Linked DNA regions of Rattus norvegicus. The protein of the gene in region 2 purifies or fractionates together with the protein of the main gene of each other region. This does not show direct contact. Links are inferred from orthologs where the notes say so. Each region holds a gene or a part of one and is shown on either strand. Other genes may lie near its edges. The genes, in order: Dis3l and Exosc1.

Region 1 (3,817 bases), on a different chromosome or scaffold from region 2:
TGAGCAAGCTACTTAACCCCGTTAGACTAAAGTTCCCAACAGTAAACTGAACGAACGCTCAGGACTCTATCTCAGCATTCTGAGGAGTAACCAGGAGGACGTCTGAAAGTCCTTGGTCAATGTGACCAGCATGCAGTCAACTCAACCAATCATTGCAGACTCTGTTGCTCGAAGACAGACGCTTAAAAAAAAAAAAAACCATTTTAACCTGACCAAAGGTATTTGAATTAGGCCCTTGTGCTTGGCAACATCATAGGTTTTTTTTTTTTTTTTTTTTTTGGTTCTTTTTTTCGGAGCTGGGGACCGAACCCAGGGCCTTGCGCTTCCTAGGTAAGCGCTCTACCACTGAGCTAAATCCCCAGCCCCAACATCATAGTTTTTAAATCCTCTTTAAGCAGCCCAGCCTCAGCCTGGTGATCCAGGTGCGTCAGGCTCTGATGCACCAATGTGCCTGGCTACAGGTCACATTTTAGGAACAACCATAAGATAAATAAACACACGGCACTCTCTGCCATGCCTCTGCCCCCTCAGTGGCGATTACCGTGTGTCTATGAAGAAGCCTTTTGCTTTTGCACATTCCCGGAGCTCTGAGAAAAACTCCTGGTGTGGAGGAGGGTGTTGGCGCAGCAGCGCCTGGTGGGGGAAGCTCTCCCAGATCTTCTTGGCCACCCAGTGGTTGGCCAGGATCATGCATTCAGCCACCGTCTCATGAACCTCCAGGGGCTGCTTGGGGATGAGGTCATGAATGTTCTTCTTGTCATCCAGCTGGACTCGAACCTCCACACCTTCTAGCTCCAAGGCGCCGCAGCGGTCTCGCTTTGCTCGGATGTGGCGAGCTATGTCAGTCAACTTCCCAATTGCCCATACTAACTCCTCCAGTTTGGCCTGTCGGTTCTGCTCCTCCAAGGTTTTGAATTCTGGAATATCATCAACAATGCTGAAGTTTCCATCCAGAAGTTCCTGGGCCGCCTCATAGAACAGTTTGTAAGCTGATCGGATAATGGTTCTGCCGTACCACACCTTCTTAATTTCATAAGAGGTTTTATCTAATTCCCACATGACTGACACAGCATACCTATAAAATGAGGGGCATCAACAGAATCATTATTCCATTCTTCACAAAGTTACAATTTATTTACTTTGTGTACGTTTACGTGTATGTTGCACATGTGAGTATCGTGACAAATGTGGAGGTCAGGGGCCATCTTGGGAGAGCCAGTTCTCTCCTTCCACCATGTTAGTCCTGAAGATCAAACTCAGACATAGCACAGGTGTCTTTTCCCACTAAGCCATCTTCATTTCTTTTTTGTAAGATTATTAATCTTTATTAATATACATAGGTATTTTGCCTGTGTATATGTCTGAATACCAGGTGTGTGTCTGCTGCTCAAGGAGGCCAGAAGAGGGTGTCAGATCCCCTGGAACTGGAATTACAGGCAGCTGTGAGCTGCTGTGTAGACGCTGGGAATCAGCCTGGGTTGTTGGGAGTTCCCTGGAAGAGTGGCCAATGCTCTTAACCGTTGAGCCATGTCTCCAGTCTAATTCCATTCTATTTTAGAAACAAGCAGAACTTGATTTTGAATTAAATTTGAAAGAAATGACCTTGCTACAGACTTTTGGTGCAATTTTTTTAATCACTCCATTACACACACAACCTATCCGTCTGTCTGTCTTGTTTGTCTTGCCCATCTGTCTGTCTGTATTCACACATTCACACACATATTTTAATGTTAAAATCAAAGTCAGGCTGGGTGTGGTGGCACACACCTTAACTCCAGCACTTGGAAGGTGAAGACAGGCTGACATTTGTGATGCTGAGGCCAGTCTGGTCCGTTTAGGGAGTTCCAGGCCAGCCAGGGCTACATAGCACTCACTATGTAACCTGTGTCAACAACAAAGTCAAAATGGGTTCTGTTAAACCCAGAACAACTCTGCAGTGAGTTCCCACACAACATGAAAAACCTTACGGCTCTCTATTTTAATTAGGAAAACTTAGCACTGACTGAGTCAAATCTGTTTAGTGCCAGGAATGGAAGAAAGCCTTTAAATCCTGCAAGATGACAGGCAGCTCAGTATCAATCTTGGTGATAGGTTAATTAACAAAAAGCTCATTTAGCAAAGAGCCACTCTGCCACCGAGACATTTTATTAAAGAAAAAAACCTATATATTTATAACATACATTTTAGAGGGGCTGATTTTCCTAGTAAAAAAGAGTTTTTACAATCAGCAGTGACTCACAAACACACATGAGAACAATAAGGACTGTGAGGCGGCTCACAGGAGAGGACACAGGACACCCTTTAACCACAGCGCTCAGCTGTGCAGAGCAGAAAAGCAGAAGTTTAAATCAAGACACTACGCGTCTAAGCTGATGTACATGAGAGGACAGCATAGTGCACCGGCAGGCTGTGGGAACAAACTCTTCACTCACTGCTGTAGGGACAGATTGCTGCAACCTCTGTGAGTGCAATCTAACTGTGTGGATCTAAACACAGAGACAGAGAGAGAGACAGAGAGAGAGACAGAGAGAGAGACAGAGACAGAGAGACAGAGAGAAAGACAGAGAGACAGAGAGAAAGACAGAGAGACAGAGAGAGAGAGGGAAAGAAAGACAGAGACAGAGAGAGAGGGAAAGAAAGACAGAGACAGAGAGACAGAGAGAAAGAAAGAGAGACAGAGAGACAGAGAGAGAGGGAAAGAAAGACAGAGACAGAGAGACAGAGAGAAAGAAAGAGAGACAGAGAGACAGAGAGAGAGGGAAGAGAGACAGAGACAGAGAGACAGAGAGAGAGGGGAAGAAAGAGAGAGAGAGAGAGAGAGAGAGAGAGAAAACCAGTGCTGGCGAGTCTCCTGTCTCAGTGATAAGCATACTGACTGCTCTTCCAGAGGACCTGGGTTCAGTGCCCAGAACCCACATGGTGGCTCACAACTGTCTGAAAGTTCAGTTCTAGGGGATCTGGTACTCTCTCTGGCCTCTGCAGGCACTAGATACACTTCTATGGTACTTATGCAGGCAAAACACTCAAGGCACATAACACAAAATAAATCTTTTTAAAAAGGAACAGAGGGGTTGTGGCTAGAGCTCAGTTGCTAAATTGCTTTGCTTAGCTCGCACTGAGCCCTGGGCTGGTCCCAGCACCGTATAAAGCAGGCACGTTGGTGCGCAGGCAGAGGCAGGAGGATCTGAAGTTAAGGTAATCCTTGGCTTCCAGTAGTTAGAGAACAGGATACCTGACACCTTGTCTAAAAAAAAAAAATCTAAGTGCTGAATAACATAGATATTTTGGGTTAGAAACAGAAGCAGTTTGCTCAGGAAGGCCAGCACCCCTTCAATGGGAGTCTCCCATTTATATCAACTGTATGCTAGTATTTTTATAAAAAAATAAAAATTACACACATCCATATCTGTGTGTATTAAAAATGGAAAAAAAATATTCAGTACCCAGGAAAAAATAGGAAGGTGCTTTGATCTCTTGGAGCTTCCTAGTGTTGGAGTGGCTGCCTTACGTGCGCACTAATAAACAGAAACTCCCTACGCCCAGGGGCCTTCTGAAGAGCAGTATCCACTGGAGAGCTTACTAAGTTCTCCTCAGCCTGTGGATGGCTTCAGAAAGCTAACATCAGAGCAGAGAGAAAGGAGGAGGCTGGAAATAAAGCTCCCTGAAAGCATATCTGGGAGGGAAGAAGTCGGAGGGGAGGGCGCTCCCAAGGCAGTGGGCAGGGTGTGGGTGGAGGGAGAGCACACTGAAGGCAGACAGCTCTGAAGGTGAAATCAGACTCACCGGTCAACGCCTCCCAGGAGGGAGCAGAGGTCTG
Region 2 (3,817 bases):
TTCTTCTCTCTGCTAAAGACAACAGAAGACACGGCAGCCATGCTAGTAATCCGTACTGGGGAGCCAAGTGAGAAAGATCACTGCAAGTTCATCTAAATAGTGACAGCATGGGCTGGGCAGATGCTTAAAAGGTAAAGGAAATCGTTACCCAACTGTGAGCACCCGAGTTAAACTCCCAAGCATTCACATGAAGAAGCTGAAGCTGGTGTCATAAAACACACACACACACACACACACACACGTGTGCGCAAAGAAGAAAACTATATCACTAACAAATGAAAAGAATTTTTTCCAGTCATAACAAAATACATATGTACACATATATAAAGGCATAAGGTATTTTCAATATTACATGATTTTGTTGGTTGAGTGCCTTTAAATGAGATTCATGAGCCAGAGAATAAAAATCAGTTTCCCCAAAATAGTGTTTCAAATAGTGTACATTTTCTTTTTTGTCTTTTGGTTGAGAGTCTTACTATGCAGCCCAGGCTGGCCTCAAACTTGGGCACGAACGATCTTCCTGCCTCAGCTGCGGGAGCCTTGGGTGTTCATTACGGCATGACTATTTTTGGGCACACTGTTTCAGGAGATGGTTGCCAGCTGACTGCAGGTACCTCAGTAAAGACCATGGCATCTTATCGCTTTTTTCACACATGTACTTTTAGAGAGTGGACCCCCTCTGTGGGTAGAGTGAGCTCAGGTTTGTAAGAACTCAGGCTGTACTCTGGCTACTTTTCGGAATTCTTTAGTGTGGGTCTTGGGGCACTGCATCTCACACCAGCTGATGGGGACCATCTGGACACCTAGAAGGAAAACAAAGACGAGAGTTGGAGGTGTGACTCTAGATACTCTGCTGAGGCTCTTTTCTTTTCAGCCAGACATGACATGGCTTCAGTTCAAGAAAGCTTGCTTAGCATATGGAAGTCCGTGGGTGCCATCCCCAGCACCAAGGGAACACTTCTCTAAGGGAAAAGAAAGAAACCTTACTTACTCCATGATACATGGGGCAGTTACCTCATCTCTGACCTTTAGGGGATCAACCTAATCTCAGTAAACTGAGCTATACATTCCCCACCATTGGGACATGCTGAGATGGGATGTCATCACGGGGCAAGCACTGGCATGTACTCACACACAGTAAGACAGATGCATCACAACGTGACATTACCTTGTGGTTTTTTGTTTCTGTTTTTGTTGTTTTGCTGGAAGATGCTGGGGACTGGACCCACCATGGTATGTGATATCCATAATTGATTTTCTATATTTTTTAATATTGTTTTTTATCACATATAAGTATGTGTGTCCCTATTATTTCCCAGTCAACCCAGGTTCCCAGGAAAAGGGACTTGGGAACAAGGACTTACCTGACTCACTGTGGGCCACCACAACCCCTAACTCATTTTCAGCAGTCGTCAGCAGGTAATTGGACTGTGCATCACCTAGGGAGATCTAGTCACACCACACAGTGAAGGGAAATGAGGCTCTAAGTGCTGTTGCTTCTACTACTTAACCTTGCTTTTTTTTTTTTTTTAATTTATTTAATGTATATGAATACATTGTAGCTGTCATCAAATACACCAGAATCTGTTACAGATGGTTGTGAGCCACTATGTGGTTGCTGGGAATTGAACTCAGGACCTCTGGAAGAGCAGTCAGTGCCCTTAACTGCTGAGCCATCTCTCCAGCCCTTAACCTTGGGTTTTTATGCTTGTTTTTCTCATATGGTTTTATTTATCCAGGCCAGCCTTGAACTCCTGATCCTGTCTTCACCTCCTACGTATTATGATTATATGTTGTCATCATGCCCTGTTCCATTTCTTCTTTTGATAACTAGAAAACTGGGGAACCAAGAATGCAACTTTGGTTGGACAGTGGTGGTGAACCCCTTCAATCACAGTAATCAGGAGGCAGGTGGATCTATGAGTTCAAAGGTCAGCCTAGTCTATAGAATAAGTTCCAGGACAGCCAGGGCTACACAGAGAAACCTTGTCTCAAAAAGAAAGAAAGAAAGAAAGAAAGAGAGAGAGAGAGAGAGAGAGAGAGAAAGAAAGAAACAAACACCTCAAAAGGATACAACTTTGGCCAAAACTATATCACCTGGCCGGAAACTCTTGTAAATTTCTACCTGCAAAAAACAAAGAGAAGTAATAGACAGAGACTAGGTCTGATGGCACCACTGACCACACAGAGGAGCCAGGGGCCTAAATTCAGGCTCTCATGTTCACACAGCAGGCACTTACCATCTCCCTAGCCTACTAATACCTTTCATTAATTGGTTAATTTTTCGACAGGGTCTTACTATGTAGCCCTCGTTAGCCTAGGACTTGCTCTGTAAACCATGTTGGCCTTAAACACACAGGGGGTCACCTACTTGCTTCTCCCTCATGGGCACTGAAATTATAGACACCTACCACCATACTTGGCTAATAATTTTTAAATGAGAGTAACAGCCTAACCTTATTTCAGTCAACTGAAAAACATCTTGTATGGGAAGAAAGGACAGAGATCTAAATTTCATATTATAGTAGAAATGTACTACAAGAAAAGGTCTTTGTAGTTCTAACCATCCTAAGGCTGGCCTCAAATTCAAGAGGTCTGCAGGCTTCTGGCTCCTGAGAGCTGAAGTTAAAGGTGAGTATGCATCAATCCAGGCTGGTCGGCAGGCCATCCATCCATCCATCATCCTTTCTTTTAGATTTACTTATTAAATGTGTATATATGTGTGCATGAGTGAATGTATGTATACCACACGCATGTGGGTGCCTGTGGAGGCTAAAATAGGTTGTCAGATGCCCTAAAACTGGAATCACAGGGGGTTGTTATCCATTGTATAGGTGCTGGGAACAAAACTGGTTCCTCTGGACAAAGAGTAATGGCTCTAAAAAGGCTGAGTCCTGGGGATAATAATTTTTAAAGCAAGATTCCTAAAGTCATAGGAACAAACGCTCAAACCACTAATCACCAACCTTGTCTTTTTCAGTTGCTCGAATATCTTCCTTGCTAAAAAAAACCAAACAAACAAAAAAACCAAAGAAAGTAAGATTAGTTATTTGAGAAGGAAAGACTGAAAGCAGACAGAGTAGGCCATATTTGGTTCCCAACTGCCACAGGATGGAGAGCCATCTTTAGCATGAATGATAAAATTGTACCCTTTCTTGGACAATACAGAACAATAATATTTATAACTCTTGGCGACTGAAAGGCTTATCAGAAATTAAAGGTAATTCTTGGCTACATATGGAATTTAAGGATAGCCTGACTATAGGACTTTTGTCCAAAAAAAAAAAAAAAAAAAAAAAAAAAAAAAAAAAAACCAAAAATGAAACCAAATCAGACCAAACCACCTCCACCAAATTATCCAGTCTACAATTACTGCATAATTGTTTCCTTTCAAAGAAGCCACATAATATTTTACCTACAAACCTTTGCTACTTCTTTTTAAAGATTGATTTCACGTGTATGAATGTTTTGCCCGTGTGCATGTATGTGCAGCACACGCATGCCTATTTGGTCCCTTGCACTGGAGTTACCATGTGCGTTCTGGCAATTGAACTTGGGTCCTCTATAAGAACAAGTGCTCTTAACAGCTCAGCCATCTCTCCAGGCCCTCTCTAACGTTTTTCTTACAACCCTTGGGTTTAATCAAACCCAAAATTAAAATAAAGAATGACAAAGGTGGATAGCCAAGATGGCTCAGGGCTCAGTGTGTTGTTTAAGCCCAATGGAACCCGCATCAAAGTGGACAGAGGCAGAACTGCCTCCATCAAGTTGTCCTGGCTTTCACACATGTGTGTGCTGCAGTACGGGTCGGCACACA

The links.
Region 1: the proteins of Exosc1 (region 2) and Dis3l purify together in Homo sapiens (affinity purification with mass spectrometry; 4 studies listed by BioGRID and IntAct, counting the BioPlex papers as one, with this or other methods). This does not show direct contact. The link is inferred for Rattus norvegicus from reciprocal best matches to the Homo sapiens genes EXOSC1 and DIS3L.

The regions. Positions count from the first base shown.
Region 1 is NC_086026.1:73,704,334-73,708,150, forward strand, and holds part of Dis3l (DIS3-like exonuclease 1), read right to left. Parts: coding exon 3,784-3,817; intron 1,076-3,783; coding exon 542-1,075; intron 1-541. UniProt on the Homo sapiens protein: Catalytic component of the RNA exosome complex which has 3'->5' exoribonuclease activity and participates in a multitude of cellular RNA processing and degradation events.
Region 2 is NC_086019.1:250,684,481-250,688,297, forward strand, and holds the end of Exosc1 (exosome complex component CSL4), read right to left. Parts: intron 3,001-3,817; coding exon 2,967-3,000; intron 2,126-2,966; coding exon 2,075-2,125; intron 1,450-2,074; coding exon 1,365-1,449; intron 804-1,364; coding exon 697-803; 3' UTR 270-696; downstream 1-269. UniProt on the Homo sapiens protein: Non-catalytic component of the RNA exosome complex which has 3'->5' exoribonuclease activity and participates in a multitude of cellular RNA processing and degradation events.